5 linked regions of the Sus scrofa genome follow. The protein of the gene in region 5 purifies or fractionates together with the protein of the main gene of each other region. This does not show direct contact. Links are inferred from orthologs where the notes say so. Each region holds a gene or a part of one and is shown on either strand. Other genes may lie near its edges.

Region 1 (6,006 bases), about 2.3 Mb from region 5:
GACACTCACCCTAAATTCCCAGTAGGGATCCTATGAAATCTTTGAAATCGAGACTTTCCCATAATATCTATTTTTAAAAAAACCTTCCCCATCATTCCTGTCCTTCAGGGCTGCCTTCTCACCTTCTCTAGGACAAAACATGCGCGTTCAATGATTTCTGGATACACATCAGTGTATTCACGGATGATATCCCTCAGCATTTCTGCAGGAGAGAGGAGGGAGCACCTGAGCTGAGGCCACAGAACTACAACCTCTTTGCCAGCCCTGCTGAGGGGAGCAATGTCCTCAAGGGTGGAAAAGGAAGACTCAATTGCAGAAGGAGGGGACTGAAGGGGAAGGGACATGAGCAAAGAAATGGCCACACAGGGCAGAGCTCTGGGAGAGGGCACTGGATGCCCACCTGAGCGCTTGATGGGCACCTTTGTGTAATCTTTAAGCATCAGGTACTTGACCAACTTGTTCGCCTGAGAAGGAAAAAAGAAAGCATTAAAGTTATAAGCGATTTACAGGCCACTTGACAAGAGGGAAAAGAGCAAGAGGGAGAGGGAAAGTGACTGCAGTTACAATTCTTACTCTTTCCTGAAGAAGGGCCACATCTCGGGGCTGTGAGGCACCCAGGTTCTGTGAGGCACGCGAGTTGGGAGAGGGGCGCAGGTTCGGTGAGGGGCGCAGGTTCTGCCAGTCAGGTGGAACTGGCCAATCAGTGGGAATCCAGTCAGGTGGGAGCGGCCAGTCAGTGGGAAGTGGCCAATCAGGTGGCAGTGGCCAGTCGGGGGGCAGTGGCCAGTCAGGAGGGCCTTGCCAATCTGGAGGACCCTGCCAGCCTGGTGGAGTCTGCCATCCAGGTGGGGTCTGCCATCCAGGTGGATTTTGCCAGGCCAGTGGGTTCGGCCAGACAACTGGACCAGGCCAGACAATGGGGTTTGGCCAGATCACAGGATTCTGCCAGATCACTGGGTTTGGCCAGATCACTGGGTTCTGCCAAGCAACTGGGTTTTGCCAGGCTGGTGGGGTCTGCCTAGCTGGGGGGCTCTGTCGTGCTGGTGGGGTCTGCCTGGCTGGCTGATTTTGCCAGCCTGATGGGTTCTGCCAGGCCAATGGGGTCTGCCAGAGAACATTGGGAGGTGCGCCAGGTGGGCTCTGAGTGGTAATTGGAACGGGTGCAGACCTCCAGGTCCCTGGAGCCAGTGGGGCCCGCCTCTGATCCCCACTGCTGCTCTCTTCCACATTCAAGTTATTAATCTGCATCATCAAAGAGAAGGAAGGTCAGAGTCACCAACTGTTTCTATGTCCTTGCCCTATCTATTCCAGGAAGGCCCCCTAAAACCCTCACCTGTAGTGACAGCCTGACCCACTAGCCAATGGTCACCCTGAGTCCTGGGCTTGTCTTTCACTGTCTTCCAGGCAGGAGTTTCATCTCTGAACCAGGCCAGGAGCAACCCAAGGGTGGGGCCTGAAGCTTCTCCTCTTCCTATGTTCACCACTGGCTCTGCTTGTACCACCCTGGACAAATCACTCAAGTCACTTCACCTCTCTGGAAACTAGTTTCCTTCCCTGTAAAACTGAAACTATGACCCCAGCCGGTATGAAGCATCTTGAAGATTTAGTGCGTGAGATAACCTGTGTGAATGTGCCTAGGCCAAGACCTAACACATGATGGCTACTATCAAAATACACAAGGAATTACATGCAGACTGGATATATTACATGTCCATGTCTCATCTCCCCATTAGTCCGTGGACACTCAGAGGACAGGAATTATCACATACATCTTATCATCCCCTACAACCTAGCTGAATACAGGCAGCTATATATTGTTTTGTTTTAGAACAAATGAACAACCTCACAGAAGAAAGGAGAGGCCCAAAGCAAAGTGGAACTAGCAGGGATCTCACCTTTCGGGTCCTCTTGCCCCGAATTATAGTCCTGGATTCCAGATTCTGAGCCTGGGAGCCATCTGCTGATGTCTGTGCAGCTGCACCATCAGATTCACAGATACCTGGTCCTGGGTCAGCCTCTATGTCAGCCTGGGAAGTGGCCATCTTGGCCTGGTTAATATTCTGGGTCTGGGTTTCAGCTGTTGGGGCTTTAGTGGTATCATTCCAAGCCTTGAAGGCTGTCTTAGGCTGAGTGTTGACCATCTCATTGGCATTGAGAGATGGAGAGAAATTGTAAGTGGCATTTGGGCCCACCTTCGTAGTGGCATTCTGGGCCTTAAAGGCCATCTCAGGTTTGGCAGTTAACTCACTGGTGGTTGCTGCCTGGGAAAAATCATAGGCAGCATTTGGGCCCTTTGAGGGGGCATTTGGGGCCTTAAAGGCTACCGTAGGTGGTGTGCTGGGAATCTCCTTGGCATTAAGAGCCTGAGAGAAATCATAGGCAGCATTTGGGCCTTTTGTGGTGGCATTCTGGGCCTTAAAGGCTGTCTTAGGCTTAGTGGCAGCTGCTAAAGCCTGAATATCAGCCACCTCATTGGCAGATGGGGGCTGTGAACTCTGAGGACTAGCATTTGGCCCACTGGCAGCTGCTGTGGCCTGGTTGGTAGGTGGAGCCTCCGAGATCTGGATGGCCTCCATCAGGGTCTGCATAAGCAAGGTGCTGTCTTCTACAGAGGCCTCAGCCTGCAAATACAAGGGGAAAAAATAAATCTCTGGGCCTCACAAAGTGGGGTTGGGAGCGGGGGAGTAGCTCAGAGGAGGTGCAGGGGGGGCGGCTGGTGCAAAGAGAGGAAGGCTGAGGCAGAGATCTAGAGGCCTGAGAGGAATGAAGTGATAACAGAACGTGTGAGAGGGGCTGAGTGGGGCAGAGGTTAAACATGGGGCGGGCGGCGATGAGGTGAGGGGGGCAAAGTGGAAGGCAGGTGCTGATCTGGGAGTGAGGTTAGAGCAGAACATTGCAGTGTGAGGTAGGAGCTCAGGAGCAGGAGGAGGTGGAGCAAGAGTGCCGCCTGGAGGAGTTGAGGAGAATAAGGGGGTCGCAAGGGGTGGGGAATGCAGGAGGAAGGGAGGGTGGAGGAGGCTGGGGGAGGGGGCGGCAAAGAGCTCTACAAGCATCAGGACTATGGAAAAAAATGGTTCCTTACCCAACCCGCATTCTCTGGGCAGATTGCCCTGACTACTAACAGGGTCTCCCCTTTCTCTGAGCAGGGACTGATGGCTGAAAGGGACGCCCCCTCCCCCATAAACCATGGGAATTTGAAAAATGAAGGAATCCAGGCACCAAGAAGGCACAATCTGATCCAGGCGTTTGGATAGCCAAAGGGGCCCGGGAAGGGGGAAACTGTCGGCTGGGGAAATGGTGGGGTGGGGAGTGGAGATCTCACCTGGAAGCCGAGGAGGCCCGCACCACAGTCCATTTTCTGAGCCATGGTTCTTGTCCCTCTGGCAAGAGCAGAGCCTGGGGAGGGGGGTGTGGGGGAGGAGTTAGGCGTTACACTACAGAGGGTAAATGGGAAGGAATGAATGTGGGGAGACGGTGGTGTTTGAGGTTTGATTGTGGGGGCGGATGAGGTGCTGAATGTGAGGGGAACGGGCCAGATCGGAGTGGGAAAAGTGAATGGGTGTCCGGATGGATGTTCTGAATCCCTAGAAGCTACGACGGGGAGAAGCTTCAAATCGGGGTTTGGAAAACCGATTTAAGAGTTCTGAATCCAGGCGGATAGCACTGGGATTCGCATATGGGAAACTGAATGGAGTTTCCGAATCAGGAGGAATCATATAACAGTACAGATTGAGGTCGAGAAATCTGTAAATTCTGAACGATGGGAGGGGCTCAGAGAGCAAACAGGGATTCTGAATAAGGGAGGATCGGGTGAGGGGTGTGAATTAGGGTTCGGGGAGTGGAAGAAGGATCAGAATCCGGGGTAAAGGGATTGGGATGAAAAATGGGGGGCCCGCACCAGGGGGCAGATGCCCTGTCTGGGGGCTAATTCTCACCTTGCCTCAGGCCCCAACCCCAACCCCCTCGTTGCCTCCCTTCTTCACGACTCAGAGGATCGGGATTGCAGTGCTCGGCTCTCAGCAGCCGCACCCTCTCCTTGTCCAGGAGAAAATGCCAGCGCGGCAGCTAGGACGACCCCGCCTCTTCGCCTAATATACCACCCACCGCCTCAGATGGTTGTACGCATGCGCAAGAACTGACCGACCAAATAAGAGTCCCGCCTGCTTTCCCAACAAAAGCTTCGTCCTGAAGACTAAGGTGCGCATGTGCAGTGGGAGGCAATCCCGCCCCTTTGCCAACACACCACCCCACCACCAACCAGGTCGACAGTATACAGCGATCCCTCCCCTTTCTCTATATCCCCTCCCCCAAACAGATTCGCAGTGCCTCTAGATCCCACCCCTTGCCCCACACACTGGCCCCCTACCTTTTCCGCAATGCGTCTCTGTTCTATCCCTCCCCTCGCACGGCCCCTCCTGTCAGGTCGGCATGCATCTCCACCCCCTAGTCTAGCAGCACTTAGGTCACTATTAAGGAGGTCTCTGTAGGGGGGCTCTAACTGCTACAAGTGTTTGGCTCGGGCTAAAAATAAGCACATCCACTTAGGGACCCAGGAAAAGGAACGGCCAGAGGATACATTATTAGAGGTAGAGTCTGTGCCTGCCACGTGACTCCATGATTTCCACCCCCCTCCTCAACAGATCCCAGACTCATAAACATTAGCTTCTTTCCTGCCCTTTGTGCAGCTCCAGCTATTTATTTTGTGTGTGGAGGTGGGAAGGTGGGGAGGTGGGGAGGAGGGGAGGGAAGGGCACAGTTTGTACTTCACAGCACGATCTATGCTGGGGCTTGTTTTCTTCTTACAGCAGCCCTGGGAGGTGGATGTCAGCATCTCCATTTTACAGATAAAGACGCTGAGGTACAAACATATTGCATGAACTAGACAAAGCCACAAAGCCAGTAAACAGAGAAAGCAAAATGTGGTCCTGTCCTGGGTCTTCCAGACCCTAAAACCCACGATCCACCGGCGCTGGCCCAGGGACTGAAGCACCCTCCTTTTATCAGTTTAAGCAACAGATCTATCCCACCTCCTGCCCTGTCAACATCTGTCCCAAACAGACAAGGTTAGTGTTCCCTGAGACTTAAGCTCATGCTCTCAATTTAGGAGGAAACAGATAGAGGTCCCAGCTCTTCCTCCGCCCCGCCCCCTCCCACTCCCCGCCCTCCTGCTCTGTGGGTCCATCCAGATATGGGAATTGCTCATTGGGGTCCACTCCCTGCTCCGGCCGTCAGGCCCCTTCATTGTGAGAGGCACAAACGCCCTACCCCTGAGGCCTTTCTGGTGCCCGCTGGAGTGGCCAAGACAATCAGGCACTTGCAATTCTGAGCCATGGCAAGCCCGGATTCAGAATGTTTGCCCTGGTCCCTTCCTGGGCTGGGCTTCAATTCGTGGGATGGAGGGTGAGCCAGTGTCTACTAGCTGTGTGAGCCTGCTCAGGTCACTGGACTTTTCTGAGCCAGGTTTGTTCAATATGCAAACCATAAAGTGCAAAGGGCAATTACTGGGATCCTACCCAACAACACACATGCTGCTTGCTTTCAGAATGACTAGAGAGACTCAAAAAGGCAGAAAATAATATACAGATGTGAGATGACTCAAACTGAACTGATATTTTCCCAAAATCCAAGATCTTTGTATATTTCACATTTGTTCTGGCATCAGTTCCTGCCAGGAGCCAACATATGAAAAGGAAGCTAATGCTAGGAGGAACTGCAGCATTTGGTCCCCAAGGGCCAACATCAATTCTGCCTGGCTGGATGACTTTCCTCATCTGTTGCATAGCAACCTCCCCTGTCAGCTGCCTGTTTTTCCTCAGCACTTCCTCTGTAAAGTGTCTGCAGTGGGACGTGATCAGACTCAGGAAAGGAGATCTGAAACACCATTTTATATGCTTTCTGCTACCATATCTATCTCCAGTCTTGACCTGGCTTACTGAATTCTAGATCTGTAATTCTGCTGCCTACCTCAGTTCTGCAATTGGATATGTTTCTGAATTTTCCAATTAA
Region 2 (5,839 bases), on a different chromosome or scaffold from region 5:
CGGCAAGCCTGACGGGTGTGCCACTGGCAAGCCACAGAAAAGCCACAGGAAGGCCGCCGAGGGGCAAGTCTAGCCCATTAAAGCAGCCGTGTCCCCTGTGTGGGACAGCAGTGCCGGCGTCAGCGAGCTCCGGGCTGGACTAGCACTGGGAGGGTGGTCGGCCCTGGGCCTTCTGACAGCCCCCAGCCCCAGGGCCCAGGGTGTGGGGGGGTGAATGGCAGCACCCCGGCAGGAAAGACACACAGAGCAGGCGCCGGGCAAGTCTGCCTTCCACCCCAGTGAGATAGGGGCACAGAAACGCCCTGAAGCCTGACTGCTTCTTGGCTGCTCTGTCCCAGCTGGAAAGCCAGGGATCTGGACACCCCCCCCCCGCCCCACAGGCCCCCGTCCAGTGCAAGACAAGCTGCCATGTGGGCAGCAGCACACAGCGTGAGCGGAGGGCAGCAGGTGGGGGTGAAGGTCGCCAGCCATCTGCCAGAGGGGAACAATCGGCCACCCGACATGATGCTGGTGCAGTGGTGCTGGGCAGCGTGGGGACAGGGCAGGCCCCAGGACACTACATCTGGGAGCCAGGGTGGGAGCAGAAGCCCAGCTTTCCACCCTCCCAGAGACTCAGTGGGGGCTGGTGTGTGGTCACCCCGTGGCCCCCCGCTCACCAGCCAAGTGGCAACCCCCCCACTGCCTCCCAGGCATGTCAGGCAGCCCCATCCATGGCCAGGGGCGACCACACCTTGTTGCTGGCAGCAGGCAGGGCACCCACTGCACTCAGAAGTTGGGGAGCATATGAGAAACTCAGGGTCCACCAGAGACGGCAGGCTCGACGATCAGGGCTCAGCCCCTCGTGATGAGGCCACCGGGCCAAAAGAAGTGGACAGAAGGGGGTCACAACCAGCCACCAAGCCAGCTTCTCCTTGGCAGAAGCCACCCCCAAGGCGGAGGAGCGAAAGGAGTGTGCACCTGCCACGGGCTGTGGCTTCACTGCCTGATGGCGGGCACTGCACCCAGTGCGTGGCCCGTGTTACCTCCTGCAGGACCCACTCTGATGCACCTTACCCTGTCACAGCTGCCCAGGGTGGCCCACTGTGGGGACCTGCCAAGGGAATGGAGTCCTGGCCAGCGTGGCCTGACGTGGGGCAGCTGCCCGAGACGCCCCTGCCGTGCCCAGTCCCGAGTCCCCAGCGCCCCCTGGTGCTGATCCCCAGGATATCCTGCACCCCAATCCCCAAGGTAGCCTCTGCTCCGGAGACTCCAGCCTGTGACGGAACTTCAGGACCAGTTTTGCTCCCATGTGGGTCGAGGACTTGAACAAACAGCCCCTGGCTTGACTCTGCCTTTGTCCCACTTAAATGGCCTCAGAGGACCTGTCAGTGACGTTCTGACCACGAGACAGAAACCGCCCACTTGGATGGAAGGCAGGCTAGGGAGGACACCTTTGGGGGACGAGGAAAAAGTGACTGGGCACCTGCTGCGAGCGTCAAACCAGAAATCAGGTCCTGAGCACCCGGCCACCAGCCAGTGTTGGGATGGGCGCGTCTGCGCCCCAGCACTGGGCTGCGCCACACCCTGGGTGGGCGTCCCCTGGGCGGGGCTGAGGGAAGAGGCCCATTCTGTCCTCTCTGCTGGACCCACTGACTTGGCCTTGGGCTGTGTGGGGAGGAGAGCCCCATGTGGAGGTCGGAGGAAGGACTCAGACCTCCATCAAAAGCGGAGGTGGCTGCTGTGGGCCTTGGAGGACACGTCCCCTGCGGGAGCACAGGTCCTGAGCCGGAACACATGGCAACTCAGGCCCCGGCGCTGAGGCCGAGCACCACACTGGCGCTGTGTCTTCCCCACGTCTGCCCCTCGGCCATCCTCTGTTTCGTCCTGTGGTGAGTAGCCATAACATCGCTAAGCCTGGAACCCAGCATGTCCCTGTTCTTGGGACAGCGCCCTGGGCACTGGGACAGCACAGGGCGGCTCAGGAGCCAAGCTGCTGACCGCAAGGAGAGAAGGTGAGCCCAGGAAAGGCAGGGAGAGACCAAGGTGGCCCGGGAGGGACGGTGCGAGAGGCAGGCCGGGAGCCTGTGTGGCCACCCCCCTCTTACCTTGTCCCACAAAGACTGCAGCTCTTCCTGCCCCCCTAGGTCCCAGAACATGAGGCGAGCCTTGCCCACGTCCACTGTGCCGACTGGGCGAGAAGAAAACAGGAGAGGCTGTGGCCTTGGTCCCTGACACCCCACCTCCCAGCCCTCCTGGGGAGGGGCTCTCTGGTGCTCTGCCTGCCTGCAGGCCTGTGGCCATCACAGCACCCTCAGGGGTCTGCCCGCCAAGCCCGCAGCCCTCAAGAAACCCCCTTACTGTTTAGACCCACGGTGGTGGTGATTTTGGACAGACTCATCCCCTTGTAGTTCTTGTTGAAGCGGGTTTTTGACTGCTCCAAGAAGGTCTGCGGGGAGAGGGAGAGAGAGGCAGGAGAGAGGAGCTGGAATGGTTTTCCGGCCTGTTTCTCAAGTTTCCCTCCTTGGGCCTATTCCTTTAAGACAAAGCAAAACAGCACACCGTTTTGCTATCAAGGCAGCCGGTGCCAGCCGTCCCCCGGTCTTAGAGGGGGCTGGGATCTTTGGACAACACGCAGCTAAATGCGTGATACCAAAAGTACCACGTTCGGGGCGGGGGGCGCGGGGCGCTGACGGCACGTACCGTTTTCCCGGCATTGTCCAGACCCAGGATCAGGATGCAGTACTCGTCCTTTTGAAACATGTACTTATACAGGCCGGACAGCAGCGTGTACATCCTGCGCGGAGACCAGCGATCGGTCACCGGCGATCCGACCCGCACCCCGCCTCCCCGAGCGGCAGAAGGGTCTGTCGGCCTGCTGTCCGCTCAGACCTGGAGCCCCGGGCCCTGCCGACCCGCCTCCTCTCTGCCCGGCACTGCCGCCGGCGCCTCCGCAGCTGCTCCCGACCCGGCCGGCGCTGCCGGCACCCTCGCTCCCACGTCCGGCCTCCCTCCGGGCTTCGCTCCGCCCAGGTCTCCTCGACGGCCCTGGGCCAAGACGGCCGCAGGCGCCCCTCAGAGGAGGGCGCGTGGGGGCGGGCGGCGGCCCCGAGTGGCCGTGCGGCTCCGCCCGCCCGCCCCGGCCTACCTGCGCCCGCCCGCCCGCTCGCCCGGGCCGCGAAGCCGGGGAGACGCCGGAGTGGGGGAGCCGCCAGGGCACCGGAGCTGCGGCGCCTGACCCTCCGACCCCGCGCCGACCCCGCGGTGACCCCGCGCGACGCCCGACGGGACGCGGGCCGGCCACTCGGGGAGGGGCGGAACCGTCCCGGCGGCCCCCGCGCCAAGCACTTCCGGCGGTGGCGGCGCGAGGGCGGAAGTGCCTGTCGGCTGCGAGGGCGGAAGCGGGGCGCGGGGCCGCTGGGGCCGCCGAGGCCGCCGGGCCGTCTGTGGCGGCGGCCGGGAGACCGTGCGGAGGAGGGCCCGGCCGGAGCGAGAGGGTCTGGGGCGTGGCGAGGTGACGGGCTGAGCCGGGGCGGGGGTGCGCGGGGCGTGGGCCGGGGCACCCGGCTGAGGCGCGGAGACCTCGGAAGAGCCTACGGCAGCGCCCCGGGGCGCCTGAGAAGGGAGCTGCGGCTGTGGGGCCAAGGCCGAGAGCCGGCTCTGGCTCGCCGGATCGGAGCTGGAAACCTCTCTTGGCCCAGACGGGAGGGGGGCAGCTCACGGTTCCGCGGGCTGTCCGCCCAGGGCCAGCCTCGCAGCGGTGGCCCGTCCCAGGCTCATTTGGCTTCTCTTCCCCGCAGCTGTGGCCCCCACGCCTCCCCTGGGAGGACCCAGAACACCCACCCCAACCCCGCGGCCTGGCCGAACAACCAGCCCCTCCTGGCAGGATGGACGAGGAGAGCCTGCAGGCCGCCCTCCGGACTTATGACGCGCAGTTGCGGCAGGTGGAACTGGCCCTGGGCGCCGGCCTGGATCCCTCGGAGCTGGCGGACCTGCGCCAGCTGCAGGGGGACCTGAAGGAGCTGATCGAGCTCACAGAGGCCAGCCTGGTGTCCGTCAGGAAGAGCAAGCTGCTGGCCACGCTGGACGGAGAGCACCCAGCCCCGGAAGATGCGGAGTACGTGGCTTTCCAGAAGGCCATCGCCGAGGTGGTGGAGGTGCCAGCAGCGCCCCGGGCCGAATTGGAGACTGTTCCTAAGGACGAGGCAGGGCCAGACCCCTCGGAGCCTGGAGAGGAGGAAGAGGGGGAGGACGAGGAAGACGCGGCCGAGCTGAGTGGGAGGAAGGTGAACGCCCCCTACTACAGCCCGTGGGGCACCCTGGAGTATCACAACGCCATGATCGTGGGCACAGAGCAGGCGGAGGACGGCGCCCCGGGCGTGAGAGTGCTCTATCTGTATCCCACTCACAAGTCCCTGAAGCCCTGCCCCTTCTTCCTGGAGGGGAAGTGCCGTTTCCAGGAGAACTGCAGGTAAAGCCTTGCCTCCCCCTGCGGCCTCTGGGGTTGCGGCCTCTGGGGTGGGGGGCTTGCGCTCAGGGTTGGGGTTGGCCCGCTGTGTTTTGGAGTTTTGTCCTTCGTCGCCCAGCAGGGTGCTGAGAAGAAGAGCTCTTTGGGGGCCAGGGGGTTCTTGCAGCAGATGCTCTCCTCCAGCTGTTTGCTCGGATTTTCGGGGTACATCAGGAGGTGCGGATGATGAAAAGAATGGGGCCCCCCCCCCCCCCCCCCCCGGCACTAGTTTTTATTCTTCAAAGGGAGACTTCTGAAGATTGTTTATGTTATGGGAATTGTCAAGCATCCAGGACATTGAAGGAGGTAGAACAACCGTCCACCCCCCCACTTCTGGGGTTTTGTGGACTGTCAGTATTTTGCCAATCTTGTTTCACCTGTTCCTAGACTTTTAAAGCAGATTGTAGAGGAGTTCCGTCGTGGCGCAGTGGTTAACGAATCCGACTAGGAAGCATGAGGCTGCAGGTTCGATCCCTGGCCTTGCTCACTGGGTTTAGGATCTGGCGTTGCCGTGAGCTGTGGTGTAGGTCACAGACGCGCCTCGGATCCCCCGTTGCTGTGGCTCTGGCGTAGGCTGGTGGCTACAGCTCCGATTCGACCCCTAGCCTGGGAACCTCCATATGCTGCGGGGAGCGGCCCTAGAAAAGGCAAAAAGACAAAAAAAAAAAAAAAAAAAAAAAAGCAAATTGTGGAACTTACCGGGGTTTTCATGTCCGTGTTCTTCAGGATGCACTCATCTCACTGCTGAAGGCCTTCTAAGGACGTAAGAAAGTGTCATTGTCACGCCTACCAAGCTTAAGACAATAACGTTTTCACACCCCAGTCTCCTCAGTCGCTGTGGCTATGTTGTCGTTTCTTTAAGCGTGAAACTTTTAACCTGACGCTTCACTTCATCCTTGCAAAGGAGTCACGGAGATGGCTACAAGGCAATTTCCTCTTGTGGCCGAGAGTCCCGCGTGACTCTCTCTAGTCGTTCGGTTCTCTTATGTCTTCGTGGCTTCCTTCTGGGCCCAGAGGCATTCGGCACGCTTCCCCCTTTTCCTTTGTCCTCGAAGCCCTGTGAACGTGGACTGGACGTAAAGAAAAGGGCACAAATCGTAAGCCTCCCTGAGCCCTGCACATGCGTGTCCCCAGCAGACAGGGCAGGGGGCAGAGGAGTAAGCGCCCGCATCTTGTCTGCCCCTGGTCCCTCGGGAGGGTCTGCGCGTCCACGTGCTGCTCCCTCTGGGCAGGCGCTGTTTCACACACAGCACCTCGCCTGGCACAGATGCCGTGGGTCCCGTGGCCTCGGTGGTCGCTTGGCCTCACAGGAGCGGCCTGCGGTGTCAGCTCTAGGCTCGTCCCACGCAGCCTGCA
Region 3 (6,093 bases), on a different chromosome or scaffold from region 5:
TCAACTGAAAATTCTCCTCCTTCACCCTTTTCTTCAAGTGGCTTTTCAAATCGTCTTTCACGAGGTGGTCGCCTTTCTGGTCTCCTATCAATTATCTTCCCTTCACCCTGAAGTTGTTGATCAGGTCTTCTTCCAACACGTCTTATTCCTAAATTAAAAAAAAAAAAAAAAAAAAAACACACACAAAAATCCATATAAGCAAATTATTTTTGCAGCACAAAAAATTTAGACCTAGACTGCTAAAAGAAAAATTGCTACTCCAATTACCAACTGCTACTCCAAGTCCAGTGCTAGTCTAGCTAGAACTTCCTGTTGAAAAAGACTGAAAGTGGGCATCTGAGGTGTAACAAAGTACTTTAGAAAAATTCCTAAAGACAATATACTTGTTTTAAACTTCCATTTAGTTTGCCAAATCATTTTCTCCTAAACTATTCTCTGTAACTGCCTTGGAAATTATCTGAACAGCCATTACTTCCCTTGCTTTTCAAGATACTAGTCTCAATTTAAAATTCTAAACTTATTTAAGGCGAGTGACACATTTTGGTTTTAAAGATATCAAATAGCCATTCATAAATAATCAAGCAAATTAATGCCATCACCAGATAAAGACATCCCCCTCACCCCCACCACAGTTAAAGCCATATTATTTTCTATAACCTGGGGGGGGGGGGAACAGCTGAATAAAAAGACTGATAATTCTATGAAATTATAAAACTGAAAGGAAAACAAATGACAACAGTTATTTTATTATTATGGGGAGGTTTTTTTAGTTTGCCTTTACAAGTATCTTTGTATCTAAAGAATCTTTAAAAACCACACACGCGGAGCCGTTTTAAGCAATAGTTAAGAAACAACAGAAACTAAATGATGAATTCCCCTTATTTTTTTCCCATTAGTGTCAGAGGCCAAGAAGGCAACCAATATGCACTACTGGTGGCCTCAAGGATAAGAAGTAGATTGATGGTTAAATTCATGACGGTAAAATTTTAGGAATGCTCTAATTCCCAAACCACGGATTTCTGACAAAATCAAAAAGCACCTCAGGAATTGGCTTCATAACAAGAAATTAAACTGGCTCATTCTCCTTCTTGCTAAGAAAGTGTAACACCATCAGGATGCACCCAATTGCCCGGCTGCTTGTAAAGAGTAAAATGGTAGAGGTCAAACTCTTCAATGAAATTTTAAGGTCCATTCCACATAAACTCTCAGGACAGACCACAAATGTTAGCTCTTACACCAAGGCATTTTAAATAAATTTCATCAGAAGCAGTGTATTGGGGTGGAGCTACGGAACCAATCCTAATAATATCCAAAACACACACACGCCCAAATGAACAATGGCTTGATTCCCCACCCCAATATTCAACATTAGGTTAGCTTACAGAATTGAAAATTTTTCACCCAATGACTGATATTTTAAAATGCAAGCTTCTCTTTTTACTAGCTTCCAGGCTTTTAATATTAAACCAAAAACAAAAACACCTTGGTATACTCAGTGATATTCTTTGGTGTCAATTCTCAAGTTCCTCAAGTGTGCAAAAAACAAACTACGAAATTCATAAAATATAATCATTAAACACATATGTAAGGCATGTCTAGAATTGTGCCAGGACCTCTACTCAAAGGCAGAGAACACAGGATCAGGATAAAAATCCTTCCCAGTACAAGAAGGAGACTTTGTTTACAGTTCTTTCCTTTCCCAACCCCAGAACACTGACTGCCAAGTAGTAAGATCTCAAAACAAAATTTTTTTCATTCACCATTTTCACTATATTTATAAGCCAGTGTTTAATGCAAGTTAAGGTTAGAAATGCTGACCTAAGGAAAATGCTGATAGCTAACAATGGAAGTTTTCCCAAGGATAGACCACTGAATGAACACTCAGCCTTGGTTATAAATTTATAGAATAACTTTCTAACTCTGTAATTTAAAACACTAGTTTCCAGGTAAGAGCTTATTTCAAAGATGGACTTTATAATCAAAACATGAGATATTTAGCCATGCTTCATGCTTTCAACAGTCAAAATGGGTGAACACACTTGATTCAATTTTTTCATGTACTCTTCTTTGGATTAGTGTGATGAAGGAGGTAAACTGAGTATAGCTTAATTACATAAGCCAATGTTCCTTAACATAGAAATTAAATGGTTTATTAGATTGTGCTACAGGTAGCTATAAGGCTTAGTTGACTGCATGGATATTTGGCCTGAGCAATGTATACACGCTTTCTAATACTCAAATTTGTGCATCCCTCACCAACCAGTAATTTTAATACAATTAATTCTTTCATTTACCACCTAGGTTCTTCGTCCCAAACCTCATAAAGCTCTCTATATTTTTTAAAAATTCCAAATTAAAACATAACACAATTGTTTGGACTTTTTAGTTGAGTATTATCAAATTCAATTAAGGTAGTAAGAACTCCTTTCAGAAGCACGTGGCACTAAAGAAAATTTTCAACTTTCAACACACAAAGGAAACCTTTAAGATTCTACGCTTAGGTCCTATACACCGATTTGCTATAGGTCATGTACGTACACTTGCTTTTCCCAAAATGTCTGGGTTTAATCCACTGCAAAGGACAAACCAGTACCGAGAATGCATATACCAAATTCAAAACAATCCTGCGAAGTATTTACAGTGACCTGGAAGCAACTGCTAGCCGCCAATGAAATCCTGACCACGCTTCACGCACATGGGGAGAAAAGGTACAGACTCAAAACGGCTCCGCGGCGGCCAACGCTGTGACAGTCTCCGCGTTTCTTTCACCACGAGGCCCAGGCCAGGCCACACACCACATGAAACAGCGCCTGCGGGAAGGGGTCCTACGGGGGGGAAAGGATCATAATCCCAGGACGAGCCTCAGGTGCTATCACCGGTCGTCAGTGGGAATTCCCGCTCCTGTTCAACCCGGAGTGGCCAAATTTCTCTCCCTCCCAACAGCTTAACTCCTTCCAGCCAGTTATTAAGTTTGTAACGATTAAAGGGACGAAGAGGGAAAAATAAAGCCACATGCGGCACCTACAAAGAAAGGCAGCTTTCTCCACGATATCCGATAGGCTCGAGAGGATGGGTAGCTTTGGTGGAAACTCCGACCCCCGGCTTTGCTCAGGGTACCTCGCGCCATCCTGGGACAAGATGGCAGGACAGGAGCCTAAGAGAGACAATCGCACCTCGAAGCAGCAGGCTGCAGGAGAGCTCCGACAGGAAGAAGCCGCCGAGTCCCTGCTGCCCCGCTAACTACAAATGCCCGTGGAAGCAGCTCCCTTCCCCGAGCCCCGGTCCATGCGCCTGCCCGCCCGCCCAGGAATCCGGCGGGAAGACAAGAGCCTCTCAGGATCCCGAGCACGCTCGAGCAGCAGCTCGTCTCCGGACCACGCTCCTCCGCTCAGAGGCTGAGGCGGGAAGGGGGTGGCTCCAGGATCCTTGCAGGCGGCGGTTTGAACTTGGGGCTACCACGCTCCCAGCACCTTCGGAAGACCTGGCTTTGTCGTGTGGGGGAAACGCGAGAAAATCGGCGGCAAAGCCTCCCGTGGACCCTCGGACCCCAGAAGCAAGTGGTAGCTACAAGTCCCCTCAGTCCTTCCCTCCATCCCGGGTCTCCGTGGCTTCCACCACAGCTTTACCTTCTTTCTTAAGCGCCACAGGCGGCTGCGTCTCCTCCTTCTTGTCAACCACGCCAACGTTGGGGGGCAGCGGGTTCTTGCGGTCTTTCTGGGATTCTTTACGCAGCTGTTTGCCCGCCGCGTTGGAGTTGGTCTGCGCTGCGGCCTGAGCTGCGCTCTTGGCCCCAGGGCCCCCAACGCCGCCCCCGCCGGCTTCTTTTTTCTTGTTCTCTGCTGCCTTCAACACCTCGAAGGGGTCCGATTCGTCGTCAAATAACTGGTCGAATCGGTTGGTGACCACGCAGCCGAAGCCTTCCTGTAAGTGCCCAGGCATGATGGTGGCTCGGCGGCGCGTTCCTCCACGGATTGCAGCGGGCCGCGCCGAGCCAAGAGCGCCTGCTTCAGCTCTTCCCACAAGATGGCCGGGCTGCGAGAGGGGGGCCGTCTTCTCTTCCGGCGCCAGGCACACATCCGGTAGCGGCCAGCGCCGCAAGGCACCACGGGGTATGTAGGCAAGAGTCGCTTTTCCCGTGGCGATTCCCAGAGCCAGCACTACGATTCCCAGAGTTCACGGCGCGACAACTCTTCGCGCGCGCCTCAGAGGCGGGACCTCACCGAGGGAGTGGAGCGTGCAAGCTGAGGGAGGAGAAGCGCGGTGGTGGGCGGAGTTCTGCCACCTGCTCTCACCACCCTTAAACTCTCTGGGTCTTGAGCTGCGCTGAAAACAGGAAAACGTGAAGGCGTGTTTTCCTCGCGAAAGTTCTCAGTCTTCGGTTTTACTTCCCGCCTCCGGTCCAGGGCTAACTTTCCCCACCTCTCTAGGAGGGTCAAGGTGGCTACCAGTCTTATAAATGGAAACAAACTTCGAGGGGTTGCAGAGGTGCCGCTCTCTTCCAAGTGCCCCAGCTACTCAGTTGCTGGCGTCTCCCTCCTGCAGCCCCATTAATGAATCGAGACTCTTCTGCTTAATGTGAAGCGGAATACGCTTCCTCTCGCGGGGACTTGAACTCGAGCAGCAGAATTAACCTAAAAGACAAGTTGAAGTATTATATGTGAGTGTTGCGCGCTTGCGACCGGTGCTTTATTTGCTGTTAACTCCCGACAGTGCGGCGCTAGCCAGACCCTGGGCAAACCTCGAAAAGGCGTTGCTTATAGAAGAAACACTTTCTAGAGTCAATCTGATTGTCCGTTAGTGTCCGGAAAGGTACAGATTGGGTGTTTGTAAAATGTGCCAAAGAAGTAACATTTTAGAGCAACCGAATGAATGTGTGGTGTGCTAAAAAGTGCATTGAGGGGAGGAAAATGTCAGCGAATTGACTGTCATTATTAGTTGAAAATATTAAAGTCCTTTGAGATCATAGAGTGTCGATGCATATTCAAGCATATTTGGTAACACTAAGTTTAAATGTGTTGTCATAATTTTTAAACCTTTTTCCAGTAACGCAAAATATAGGGGAAAAAAATGCATCTCTATGTTCAGAGGCTATGAATGACCTTAATGTCAACAACCTGTTAGGTAGGTTTCCCTTTTCACAAATTAAAACCATTTCAGAGGTGAAAAGATTTACCAAGTTTACACTTCTGTAAATGCTAGTGCCAGGAGTTAACCCAGTCTTCTAATTCCACTCTGAGACGCTTGACATCCTTTTTAATCCAAATGCTACCTTTTGATAGAAGCCAGTCAATTATCAGTTCATTTCCAATATTTGATAAAATCTAAATATTGTTGCTTGTCAAGCAGGGTATGTAACATGGCCAAATGCAATCTTATCGATTTCTGAGAGGAATTCAAGTCAATTCCTTAACATGGGAAATAAAAGAGTCATATTACAGTCCTGTGGCAGCAAGCCTAGTGGTTTTCTAATTTCCAAATCCAGCCCCCATTCCTCAAAGTCACCTATTTCTCTTTTGCCTCGCACACACCTCCCTGTGGCACACACCTCCATCTCACACAGAGACCCTGGCTCCTTCCAAGAAAAAGGACAAGGAGTTTTTGACCATATTCATCATGCCTCTTTGAAAATAGTTCAGGTGCAATTTGGAAGATTGTAGTGCTTTAACCCTTTCTCTTTACCAGGGGCTGTTGTTAGTATCTGCATCTTTGAGGCATCTGCTACAGCTCCTCTTTTTACCCCTTTTTGGCCACTACCACAACAACATTAAGAGCTAAAACTTGATATTTTACTATACTCTTGGTGCACTTTACCTGTGTGATCTCATTTAATCCTCACACCAACTATGAGAAAGGTATTATTACTGCCTTTTTAAGGTGAGGATAATGAAGCGCAAAGAGGCTAAGTAACTTACCCACTCCCACAGTCTGGGGAGAGGGGAGGCCTATCCTTAGTTTTTATCCTATGTACAGGTCTCTGGTTTCCTCAAACAGACTTTTATGATTACCAAGCATTACTACAAGAATACTTAAACAACACATAGGGAAATTGTATGGCTGTGAATTTTTAAGGTTCGCTCGTGCTCCTCAGGGAAT
Region 4 (5,759 bases), on a different chromosome or scaffold from region 5:
TAGCAAAGACAAACTTCTAAAACAATATCATATTATGAAGACTTTTCAATCTCGAACCTGGGAACAAGGGAAAAAGTGAAGACAAATGCCAAAAATACTAACATATTTTTTGAAGAACATAACTTCACATCAAGACAAGGAATTATCCCAAAAGGACTTCATTCTATTAAGATTCCTTTTAATAAATGATATTTCTGGGGTACATCAAAATAAGTAAGATTTATCTGCTTTCCAGAAAAGTATGGACTCAAGGCCTTGTAAGGCTTTACTTCATTTGTGGGATATGTTTTGCTTGTCAACAAAATGAATTTTAACTCAGATATTCTACTTTTAGGAAAGTTTTTCCTGGATGTTTTTGAAGAATATACTCTGGGTGGTTGAAATAACATAAAAACCTCTTTAAAAAGAAGAGCTATAACATTAATGTACATTAGGTAAAATTAACTACAGATCAAATATTAACATTTAGCAATAAAATTCACATGGACTTGAGCAAGTTACATAACCTCCCAAAACCTCAGGTTCATCATCTATAAAATTAAAGATCATAATTATTACCTCATTAGAGGTTTGTATGTATAAATATGAAAATATGTGCCAAGGACAGTACCTGGGCCTGACACACAGAAAACACCTCATGAAATATAGCAATACGTATTGATGTGAGCAATTATAAAGAAAATGGAAAATATATCTTGATGTTATGTGAAAAGTTCTATCCATACTGCTAAGTACTTAAATGTAAGACCTAATTTCTGCCTTAGCTACTTTGGAGACTAAAAGTGTGGCAAATTATTACTAATCAGTAAAGCTTCAGGTAGAACAGTCCAACATTAATATATTTTGGATATTCCACAAAATCTTACTGTTATTTATCCTATTCTTAAAACTAGTACTGTATCTGAATCACCTGGGAGGACTTTTATTTAAAATAAGAACAAATGCTAAGGCCATATCCCAGAACTACTCTCTAACCAAGAGAGACCAGAGTCTCCAGTAGAGGCATCCAAGTAGGTCCAATATTTTAAAATTTGCACAGCTAATTCTAGAGTAACTAGCCTACAGATTGATATTTGCAGATCACCGATACAGTTTGTCTAGTTTATAACTCATTTTAACAAGTTGCAATTTACTGTATTTGGAAACCAGCTGCCATGTTGGCAGGCTATACAAAAGAGCACCTAATATGAAATGTTACGGGAAAGTGTCCTATGTATCTCAGAACTTATCGCCAGAGAATCAATACCTAGACCTATGTGTGCTTTTCTGAAATTCTAGAATGGTTGTCCCAGGTTTAAATTTAGTTCCTGGAGAAATGAAATTTTCATGTAAAAATCTCAAGCCCCAAATAACCATTTTTACCCATATGAAAAAAGTTCAAAACAGAATGTAAGGATCCATGTATTGACCCTGGCTTTAAAAAATTATAAACCAAATTCTTTACTCTTACTCCCAGAGTTCTAGAGCTTTAAGACCAAGGATTTTTTTTTCCTTCTATTTGCTTTGCTTCCTGTTAAGAAAACACTCCTGTCAAAGGCTCCTGGTGGCTTGAGTGACAAATGCAATACAAATGTAGATTAGTACAGAAGCATACTCCCTGCAATTAGTAATCACAAATTACTAACCCATGTGTAAGTTTAGCTAGTTTCTTTAGCATTTTTTCCCCCTGAACTTCTTGAGGCAAAAGCATATTCTCACAGTTGAAATCAACATTACTTTAATCAGTTTAATGCTGAGAGCCACTCATTTTATTCTATCATAATAACATTTTGTTGGGTACAAAAATGGAATCACATAGTGGGAGTTACCACACATAGTATGCAAAGTCATGGAAACTGGTGATGGTTTTGCCAACTAGTAATTGATATAGGCTGAATATACCAAGTGTTGTAGAAGATTAAGAAAGCCCTAGGGTACACAAAGTCATTTAAGAAGGTAAACAATTAGGTTTCTCTGTGTCTATAAATATACATGCCACTCCATATGAATACCACAAACTCTTGGCAAACACCTAAAAATAAGTCCTCTGCAGATCTTTCCATGCTAAAAGTTTTGTTTTAACAAATTTTATCTAAAATATATTCTTCCCAATAATGGAAGTTTGAGTTCTTTAGATGAATATTCAAACTAATGCATTAAAACATTACAAGGCCTTAAGAATAAGTGGATTGTTATGTGTAGGACTGAGAGTTTGTACTTAGTAATAGTGTTAGTACCTTTAAAAATAAATCCTTTGGAGCATGATAATGTGAGAAAATAGAAAGTATACATGTATGTGTAACTGGGTCACCATGCTGTACAGTAGAAAAAAAAATTGTATTGGGGAAATAACAATTACAAAAATATTTTTAATAAATAAAAAGATTTTAAAAAATAATAAGTCCTTTGGGCATCAAAACACAGTATTTGCCAGAGAAGAGCACAAATGTCTTATACACTTTTTCCATAGCGTAAGTAAAAATTTCATTCTCTTGACCATCCACCAGTTTTTGCCACCTTTACAACAAACTGAGGTGTCTTTCTAATAATTTGCCCACCTCATTAGGGGTCATTTATTAACTCTTTCCTATTAATCATTAAATCAATAGAAGAGATCTAGATTTTGAAGAAAAATAATAATCATACTTCTACCAGTTCTGTTCAGACTAACTCAGCAGACAGGTGGATAAATTGGCCTCTGGAGACCAAGTGAACTGGCAATGAAGAAAAGAGAGTCTGTGCAAACACAGCAAACCAACAACCAATTCCAATTGTATAATTTTTACTGCAAAAGTTTATAGGTACTGGAGAGAGATAAAAGGTTGAAAGAATAAAAGATGCTCGGACCCTTGCAATTTTCCCACTTATGATAGGGAATGAATTATGTGCCGTCACTTTCACATCAAGGACTTTTTAAAGAATACTAGGAACTAACAAACACATGAAGTTAAAACATTAAAATGGAAAAGATTTCCACCCATTTGTTTTGCCAATAAAAAGTGAGTAAAACTTCTGTTGAACACTCAGTTCCGTGCTAAATAGGCCACACCAGGTTTCACTTCACAGGTGTTTCATCTGGACTGCCAGCTGCCAAGATGTCCCAGACACACTAACTGAGCACAAGTACTACTCGGTACAGAAAGCTCACAGGTATTTTACTGGGTCATCAAAGTTAGCCTTAATGTTCATTGCCACAGAGGAAAGTCAGAAAAATAGTCTGTGGAAAAGCGAACACAGCCTACAAGAAGCAATTTCAAGGAATTCAGGAGTCTGCCAACAGTGGACACTGTGTTTGAATAGTTTGCATACCTCCTCCCCAAATCAGAAAATCTGGAGTGGCCTGTGCCATTCATTCACTCCTCCGTAGAAATGAACCTCTGCTCTCCCGGAGAGGAAACTGCTGCGCTCCCCAGACACACCCCAGGGAAGCAGCTGCACTCACCAAACAGTGACAGGACCCCGCATACGGTCCAGACGACCAGGGACAAGCCCACGCTGCCTGTGTTCTGGAGCACGCCCTTAGGAGAGATGAAGATCCCTGCTCCGATGATGGTCCCGATGATGATGGAGATTCCTCTCAACAGAGTGATTTTCTTCTTCAGCACAACTTTCTCCTGCCCAGGTGGCTCCCTGCCGCCCAGGGAGGGCAGCCTCCTGTGAACATTCCCCTGCAGGTAACCTCCATTGGAGATGGTGGACACCACAGGCTTTCTGACCATTGTAGTCACCCGCAGGGGAGAAAAGGAAGTAGCAAAAAAGTACAAAATAAATAAATAAATAAAAATAAACCCCCTAAACTTTCAACTTTGGTGCCTGTTGGTGTTTCTTGACCGATGGTTCTCTTCCTCTTTGCTTTCAGATTCCTTCTCAGTTGTTACTGGGCTCACAGGTAAAAATGCTCAGGTATATTTTTGCCTTCAGAAATCTAATTACTCCTGAGAAACACCTGTGTGTTCGGTCATGGTGTTCTGGTTCCTCCACCTCCCCGACTACCTCTGCTGCTGCCTCTGCTGCTGCTGCCGCCCTATCATTACAGACCAGCTCAGCTTCCTCGTGGGCTGGTATTTAAGCTCCTGCCTGTCACACAAACTTACTCCGGCTGGATGATGATGCAAATTCTCCAGGTTTGCATCAGCCACATGAGAAGGCTCCAGCATTACTCAGCTTTTTTTTTTTTTAAAAAAAAAAAAAAAAAAAAAAAAAAAAAAAAAAAAAAAACCACTAGCAGCAAGTTGCTTTCGGAGGACAAAGCACACACTTAAAAGGGATCCTAACCAATTCAGGAGTAGTAAATTCGGAACAGACCTTCTCCTAGTGAGGGACAAAAGCTCTTCACTCGAAAAGAAAATGAAAAATGAAACAGGAAATGATCCCTGCGTCGTTAAGAAGCTTCTTTTTTCTTTACCTTACATAAAAAACAGTTTCCACAAAACTGTTTTGATCACAGAACATTACCCAAAGCTGCACTGTTTATAACCACAAAATTTAGATTTCATCCTGCTTCCTGGTTAATTTTTTTTATTTTGGGTTTCCTAGCAACACAGTCAATCTAATATTTACAAAGCTGGAATGATTCTGTATAGCTGCCGTCTTGCACAGAACAATTGGGAGCTTTAACATTTAAGATAAAAATTATTTCTTACTACTATAATATACCAATACTTAAAATCACCATCTGAGTGTGACTACTATGAAAATTACAGTGACTCCAGAAAATAGTCATTTTCTGATTCTCCTTAGCAGTAGGTGATCTCCTAAACTAAGTAAAAGATATGTACTCTTCATTTTGCATGTTGTTCCATCAAATTATTAAAAAAAAACCCTTCAAATTAAGCAATATTTACAATGACATAAAAACATACACAAAACAAAGGCTTGAAAGGATACACAGACTAAAATTGAGGAAAATATTAACAATATGTAGAATTTCATTCTAGAGTGTGAATTGTTATATTGTGACTTTAAATTTAAAATGAATTAGAGGAGTTCCCGTCGTGGCGCAGTGGTTAATGAATCCGACTAGGAACCATGAGGTTGCGTGTTCGGTCCCTGCCCTTGCTCAGTGGGTTAACGATCCGGCATTGCATTGCCGTGAGCTGTGGTGTAGGTTGCAGACTCGGCTCGGATCCCGTGTGGCTGTGGCTCTGGCGTTGGCCGGTGGCTACAGCTCTGATTCAACCCCTAGCCTGGGAACCTCCATATGCCGTGGGAGCGGCCCAAGAAATAGCAACAACAACAACAACAACAAAAGACCAAAAAAAAATAAAAAATAAAAAAAAAATAAAATGAATTAGAAATATAAGCTAAGGTTAAAACATTTAGTTTGAGACAGTAAAAAAGGCAAATTATTTTTCTGTCTTTTAAGGGCTGCACCCAAGGCATATGGAGGTTCCCAGGCTAGGGGTCTAATTGGAGCTACAGCTGCTGGCCTACAGCACAGTCACAGCAATGCTGGATGCCAACCACATCTGCAACCTACACAACAGCTTACAGCAACACCAGATCCTTAACCCACAGGTGAGGCCAGGGAATGAACCTGTATCCTCATGGATGCTAGTCAGATTTGTTTCCACTGAGCCATGATGGGAATTCCCAGAAAGGCAAACACTTTAATGTTTTATTGCCTTTCTTAATCAAATGTCCATAAGACAAATACTAAAAGAAAAAAAATCCTAGATAAAATGTTTGGCAGAGGTGGTTCTGGATTCAATGAGAAGAATTATATGTTATCATTGCCCTAAAGCTACATTTACAAACACTTTTAAATACGCTTCTGAACA
Region 5 (6,102 bases):
GTTTATTCACCACAGCACAACTGGCCACAAAAACCACTGTCCACCAACCTTAAGCCTCACACTGACCAGACCGCTTGTTCTGACCACCATGCTTGCGTGGCTGGGAGGGAACAGAAGAGCAGGGGAGAGAAGGAAGGAACCCGGTTTTTCCTCGAAAGACACCTACCGTTTTCTCTCACCTTCAGGCCCAAAGGGCTGTGGCATGAGTTCCCTAAAAATCCCAAAGTTAAAGAATACCTCGCCAACTCCTTAACTGACCAATGAGGAAACTGAGGCCCAGGGACCAAAGGCAGAATGATTGTGATTCAACCAGCAAAGCCCCAGCAGAGCCAGAGTGGGAATCCAAGCACTCTGGCTACAGTGCCAGGTCCAACTTCTCCCACCACCTCAGCATGCAGGCCCCCTTCTCAAAATGTTCCGTGGGGCCCTTAAGCTCAGGATACTTTCAAGTCCTTTTCTTCATATGGGAGACTCTTGGCAAGGCAGCCATACCTGGGAAATGAAACCCCTGACAACACCTTCCTAGTACGGAGACCCCAGGGTGCCAAAAGGGCTCCTAAAGGCAACAGAAATACAGTCACAGCATCAGGACAGACGGGAAGTCTGAGCAGTCACAACAAGGACCAGATTCACCATCTGGGCTCCCTCTCAACAACGCCCCTCTTTCCCAAAGGATCTGATTGATCTCCAGGTTACAAACTGCCCCCAGTGACAGTTCAGAATCAAGCCTGAGGCAGCAGGAAGAATCTCCTCTCTTTTCATCCCCATGCTGAACCAGGTAAGGCAAGAAAAAGCATCTTCTTCCTCCTTTTGTCCCAAGATGTGGGAGGACAGGAAGCCTCTCCTCTGTCATTGGAAAGATATCATGCCATCACAGAGCTTTAGTTCCATGTTCTTATAGGGACAATCACAAGGGAGGGAATTCTAGCCTAGGAGATGCAAAGGGGAGGTAAGGAGGTGTCTTTCTACTAGTCACCATGGCAGCACATGACTTCTCCGTGCCCAGGACTCCCTATTTCTGTGGAGAAGAAAAGGCACACTTTACTGCAACCAGGGAGAGAAGAAACAACTCCTAGCCCTGACCCTGGCAGATAATTTACCCTGCCTAGAGTAGTAGTAATGGGTGGAAAGGGAACAAGGACAGGGGCTCAAGACAAGGCCCTGGCCCCTGTGAAGCACAGAGAGATTTACCTGAGCCAAGGGGGAGAGGAATGTGGCTGCAGAATTTGCTTGCAGTGGGGATGTCCCAAACCCCTTCCCTGTCTCTGGGAAGGAAAAAGCTTGCTAAAAGCAATTCAGGAAGCTCAGAATATTTCCCTGATCCTGGAAATAAGCAGGACAGCTGGCTCAAGGAGAGACTCAGAACATCCAGTGCTCGAGGGGAGGCCTCGGGACTCACATCCCCAGCACCTGACAAACTTCTCACAGAAAGTAAGGAAAACTTCCTAGCCTCGGGGCTTCTTATGATTGTAAAAAGCACCCAGACCCTTCTATTCAAGGGGGGGAAGACCTCAGGCCCCACTGGGGAAGATCTCACCTCCCTCTCCCTGGTGAGAAAGGATTACCTGGTTGGGGGCAGGGGGAGCCTCACGCCCAAGCGGGGAGCTCTAGCCCCTCCCTGCGGGGAAGCTCAGGCCCCTGGGAGGAAGGTCAGATTCTCCCTCAGAATCCCACCATACCCGTGTTCCCAAGGAGAACGAGCTACTCACAGGACTTACTTCACAAGTGGAAGTGGAAGGTCCTTCTCACAAGACTTACTTCACAAATAACCCTTATTTATATTCTGCGGAGAGAGAATCTTAGACTCTTACCCCGGAGGAAAAGAAACCTCAAGCCACCGAACACAGACCAAGATCCTTTGGAGAGTCATGAGATTCCATTCTCCAGAGGCATTCCATCCTGCCTGTCTCTCCTGGGGAGTTCCTACCTATTGGCCCTAAACGATGAGATTCCAGGGCCTGGAATGACAACTACGCGTTCTAGAAAAGACCACAGAGCCCATCTTCAAAGCCTCCATCTTATCTGGGGCCTCTAACCCCAAATCCTTGGTGGGGTGGGCGTGAGGGTGGGAGAAGAGCGTCTCACGCCCCCGCCACCACCAGAGAAAAGACTGCCAGGTTCAGAGAGAAGACACAGGCTCCATCTCAAAACAGCCTTCCTTGGGTCTTTACCCTGTCTGGGGATTCCATCCACCACACCCACTCACCTGTCACCCCCCTTCCTGCCCATACCTGCTCAACGGTGGCGGGGTCCATGGCCTCGATGCGCGCTGCAGCCGCTTCATACTCGTCCTCACTGTTGTAACCTGCGCCGACCTCCTCGCGCTCAGGGCTGCCCCCGCCGACCGCGCCAACCCCGGGGGCTTGACGCCGCCTCTTGCTGTGGCCCGGCCCGGAGCAGCAGCCGCCCACGCCCACGGTGCCGCCCACACCCACCACCACGCCCGCCGCGCCCACCCCCGCTGCCGCTGCACCCAACGCGTCACCAGGACCGCCGCCGGGACCGCCGGGACCCCCGCAAGGAGGAGGAGAGGCCTGCTGTGGCCGGGGTCCCGCCACGGCGCCGGGCGGCACGGCCAGCGCCCAGCGGTGGAGTGCACCTGGTGGCCCCGGGAGCGGGCCCTGAGGCGGTGGCGAAGCTCGGGGACGGGGCCCCACGACGCCCGAGTCACGGTCGCGGTCGCCACCACCCACGCCCGTGCCACCGCCGCCCACGCCTACACCCCCGCCGCGCCGCGGCGCCGGGGGCAGCGGCCCGGGCGGCGGCGGCTCGTTGGCTGGGTCGGCGTCGGGAGGCGGCGGCTTCTTTTTGGGGAGAATAGTCATGGCGGCACTGCCGAGTACCCCCCAGCAAACCCGGCGCGGGGCACGCTGGGAGAGGACCCGGATGAGGGGGCTACAGTGGTGCGCGAAGCACGACGGGATCGCCGGGACCCGGATAAAGAGATCGCGGCACCGGTTCTCGAACCGTCGGCGGCGCGCAGGTCACGCGGCTGGAGAACCCGGATGTGAAGTCCAAGATGAAGGCACCGGTGCGAGCCTGTCGTAGCCTTCTCCCCAAGTCCAGCAAGATTATTGCTACGCTCGTTCCGGCCTTCGGCTTCAAAGGAAACAGAACCAAAACAAGCACCTCTTCGCCCCGCCCCCTCGCAGGTTCTTGAACTACCGGGTGGGGCCCGGGGCGTTGCGCACGCGCGCCGGGGCACAGCCCCGCCTCTCTCTCGGAAGTACGTGGGCAAAATCTTCACCGCCGCCACAACAATTGCGGGTACCAACCAATCGAAGCGGCTGCGTGGGTCCTCGGTGATGCCCACGGGCCAATCAGAAGCGAATAATCGCCCTCCCCTGCCCTCCGTCTCAGATTTCAGTCAAAGTCGGCACCCTCGTTCCTTGCCTTTCCTCTCGTCGTCCCCGTCCTGCTCTTCTCTCCCCGAGGCTCTGACTCGCAAGCGGGGGTACTGCAACTGGACAGCGTGGCCTGCCCCGCACACGACAGTTTTAAAATCGCCTCCCTTCCAGGCTTCCAACTTGGCTGCAGTCAGCCGGACTGACAGGAAAATATCAACACTCCCAGAGCTTAGCTAGACCCTGAAGCGTCAGTTCCGGTTCCACCCACCTGCAAATCCACATCCGGTGAGGAGGCGGGCGCCGCTTCACCCTGGCAACAAGCCTAGTTCTGCGGTGATTGGTTAAGAGATATCGTCACTCACGTCGGACGGGCCAACCTTGGGACAGACTGAACCGTGGGGACAGGGGGTGTTTGGAAAGCAGACACGCCCTCTCTGGCACAGCCGCACTCTCGCCCTCGCGTTGACCTCCCCGCCCCTGTGGCTAGTGCGCAGGCGCGGCAAAGCCTTTTCCTCTCCACCCCCCCACACCTCTTTTTTTCTTCTCCTCCCCCCGCACCCCCAAACTGAGTGTACCTGAATCGAGCGAAGTTTATAAACCAGCTCCGTCACCAACCAGCGTTTCACAATGAGGTTGGTAAAATTCCTGCTACTGCACGGATGGAGAACTAAAAGCTAATCCTGGCTCTGCCACTCCTGAGTGATCTCTGGCAAGCCATTTAAAACCCACCCAATCCTCAATTTCCACTTCTCTATAAAATGGCCATGATCATTCCAATTTACGCCTCAGAGATTAATGCTTACAAAGGGCCTCCCGCTGTGCCTAGGACACAGTAAGTGCTCAATTAATTATTCTGCATGTCAGTGCAAAGGAAAGGATCTCAGGCTTTGGAGTCAGGACGACCTCTGTTCCAGGCATGGGCGAACCATTACCAACTGTCTGACCTTGAGCAAGTCATTGTGTAAATTTTACCTCTTGTTACCTCTGTGTGAAACAAGAATGATAATGCCTGCCCAAACTACCTCAGGGTGCAGTTGGAGAATTCAGATGAGCTCACGAACCACGAAGGTGTCGGGAGAGGTGAGGGTTCCCTGCCAATCTTAGGAACCAAGCAATACAAGCTCTTCTGAGTGCCACCTAATTTTCTCCCTTCAGATGCCAACCCTAGTTGAAGTTCTTACTGAAGGGTGGCAGTAATAAACAGAATAGAGCTGTGTTTTCTTTTTCTTTCTTTCTTTTTTTTTTTTTTGGTGGTGTTTTCAGCTCATGAGACTTAATGGGCTTATGGTGTTTAGGGAACTGTGCAAAATGCCTGCGCACATTATCATACTGATTCTTCTCGTGACCGTCTCACTCAACCCTATATCCCACTCCCTGCTGGATATTTGTCCAGCATTACACATCTGGATCTGAACTTACAATAATAATTGTAGGTAGCCTTTACCAAGTAGTTGCTATGTGCCTGTCATTATGTGTGCAACAGCTTTGATGTTCCCACTGACAGTGAATGAATGACACCCAGCCTTTGCCCAAGCCAGGGAACTTGGAAGTCAACTGCTCCTTCTTCCTCAACTTCCACATACCTGTTGATCCCAAGTCTTGCCACTTCTATCTCTGAAATCTTTTGACTTTCCAACTCTTACTGCCACTTCCCGGTCTAAGCCACCATCACCTGCCAATTGCACTACTGCAAAAATCTCCTCACTGTTCTTCCTCCCTCCAGGACTGGTTCTCTATACCCCACTCCCCACAGCCAGAATCATCCTTCTGAATCACAAACCTCATGATGACTTTCCTGTTTCTAAGCCTTCAGAGCCCCATTATGGTTAAGATGAAGTCCGAATCTGTATCACAGCTTCAAAGGCCTCTTGTGATCTGCCCTATCTCTATATCCTCACCCTCATCACGACCTCACACTCTCCTCACCAGGTGTGCTAAGCCACTTCAGTTCTCCAAAGGCCCTGAGCTTGAACTCTAACCTCCAGGCCATTGCACATACTGTTCCCTCTGCCTAAAATGTTTTCACTCTTGTCTTTTGCCTGGCTAACTCCAACTTATTGTTTGGCCAGGTTTGGTTCTCTTGCCATCTGCCTGCTCCTATAATCCATCAACTTTGGTTCTACTACGTTATGTTATAATGGCTTAATTGCCTTCCATGCTCACCTCTGTAGATCGGAGATGATGTCTACTTTGCCCATTTTTGTACCCCTACAGCTGGCACATGATATGCAGTTAATACATATTTGATGAATAAATGAAGATTATTTCACAGATTAGCAACCTGAGGCAAGGTAAGTGATTCTCTCACCCGGGGACCAGAACCCAGGTCAACCTGAATCCAAGGTCTGTCTTCTTGGTGCTCCACAGAGCTGTTACACTAGCCTACTGTATCCAGTAGCCCAGAAGAGAGAATATAGGTAGGGGACATCCACAAGGAAGAGGAATTCGCCAAACTGAGAGATTGCTTTTCGTCAGGGTTCAATTCAGAGCTGTTTTCAGGAAGCGTGGGTGGGTTTTTTTTTTGTTGTTGTTGTTGTTTTTTTTCTCTTTTGGCCTTTCCTAGGGCCACTTCCCACAGCATATGGGGGTTCCCAGGCTAGGGGTCAAATCGGAGCTGTAGCCTCTGGCCTACACCAGAGCCACAGCAACGCAGGGTCCAAGCCACGTTTGTGACCTACACCACAGCTCACGGCAACGCCGGATCCTTAACCCACTGAGCAAGGCCAGGGATCGAACCTGCAACTTCATGGTTCCT

The links.
Region 1: the proteins of OTUD5 (region 5) and MAGED1 purify together in Homo sapiens (affinity purification with mass spectrometry, with the first as the bait; 3 studies listed by BioGRID). This does not show direct contact. The link is inferred for Sus scrofa from reciprocal best matches to the Homo sapiens genes OTUD5 and MAGED1.
Region 2: the proteins of OTUD5 (region 5) and ZGPAT purify together in Homo sapiens (affinity purification with mass spectrometry; 3 studies listed by BioGRID, with this or other methods). This does not show direct contact. The link is inferred for Sus scrofa from reciprocal best matches to the Homo sapiens genes OTUD5 and ZGPAT.
Region 3: the proteins of OTUD5 (region 5) and SERBP1 purify together in Homo sapiens (affinity purification with mass spectrometry, with the first as the bait; 3 studies listed by BioGRID). This does not show direct contact. The link is inferred for Sus scrofa from reciprocal best matches to the Homo sapiens genes OTUD5 and SERBP1.
Region 4: the proteins of OTUD5 (region 5) and SLC7A11 purify together in Homo sapiens (affinity purification with western blotting; 3 studies listed by BioGRID, with this or other methods). This does not show direct contact. The link is inferred for Sus scrofa from reciprocal best matches to the Homo sapiens genes OTUD5 and SLC7A11.

Annotation. Positions count from the first base shown.
Region 1 is NC_010461.5:45,320,600-45,326,605, reverse strand, and holds the start of MAGED1 (melanoma-associated antigen D1), read right to left. Parts: upstream 4,068-6,006; 5' UTR 3,936-4,067; intron 3,397-3,935; 5' UTR 3,368-3,396; coding exon 3,323-3,367; intron 2,622-3,322; coding exon 1,896-2,621; intron 1,243-1,895; coding exon 574-1,242; intron 465-573; coding exon 401-464; coding exon of another isoform or gene 203-400; coding exon 123-202; intron 1-122. UniProt on the Homo sapiens protein: Involved in the apoptotic response after nerve growth factor (NGF) binding in neuronal cells. Inhibits cell cycle progression, and facilitates NGFR-mediated apoptosis. May act as a regulator of the function of DLX family members.
Region 2 is NC_010459.5:62,639,216-62,645,054, forward strand, and holds the start of ZGPAT (zinc finger CCCH-type with G patch domain-containing protein), read left to right. Parts: upstream 1-1,772; 5' UTR 1,773-1,868; intron 1,869-2,084; coding exon of another isoform or gene 2,085-2,167; intron 2,168-2,337; coding exon of another isoform or gene 2,338-2,425; exon of another isoform or gene 2,426-2,512; intron 2,513-2,679; coding exon of another isoform or gene 2,680-2,772; exon of another isoform or gene 2,773-2,811; intron 2,812-2,868; exon of another isoform or gene 2,869-3,090; intron 3,091-3,124; exon of another isoform or gene 3,125-3,270; intron 3,271-3,351; exon of another isoform or gene 3,352-3,490; intron 3,491-3,776; 5' UTR 3,777-3,863; coding exon 3,864-4,447; intron 4,448-5,839. Other genes in the region: ARFRP1 (ADP-ribosylation factor-related protein 1), read right to left, coding at 2,085-2,167, 2,338-2,425, 2,680-2,772. UniProt on the Homo sapiens protein: Transcription repressor that specifically binds the 5'-GGAG[GA]A[GA]A-3' consensus sequence. Represses transcription by recruiting the chromatin multiprotein complex NuRD to target promoters.
Region 3 is NC_010448.4:145,184,679-145,190,771, reverse strand, and holds the start of SERBP1 (plasminogen activator inhibitor 1 RNA-binding protein), read right to left. Parts: upstream 4,068-6,093; 5' UTR 3,940-4,067; coding exon 3,627-3,939; intron 149-3,626; coding exon 1-148. UniProt on the Homo sapiens protein: Ribosome-binding protein that promotes ribosome hibernation, a process during which ribosomes are stabilized in an inactive state and preserved from proteasomal degradation.
Region 4 is NC_010450.4:88,606,391-88,612,149, reverse strand, and holds the start of SLC7A11 (cystine/glutamate transporter), read right to left. Parts: upstream 4,068-5,759; 5' UTR 3,699-4,067; coding exon 3,422-3,698; intron 1-3,421. UniProt on the Homo sapiens protein: Heterodimer with SLC3A2, that functions as an antiporter by mediating the exchange of extracellular anionic L-cystine and intracellular L-glutamate across the cellular plasma membrane.
Region 5 is NC_010461.5:43,025,872-43,031,973, forward strand, and holds the start of OTUD5 (OTU domain-containing protein 5), read right to left. Parts: upstream 3,587-6,102; 5' UTR 2,826-3,586; coding exon 2,232-2,825; intron 1-2,231. UniProt on the Homo sapiens protein: Deubiquitinating enzyme that functions as a negative regulator of the innate immune system. Has peptidase activity towards 'Lys-48'- and 'Lys-63'-linked polyubiquitin chains. Can also cleave 'Lys-11'-linked ubiquitin chains (in vitro).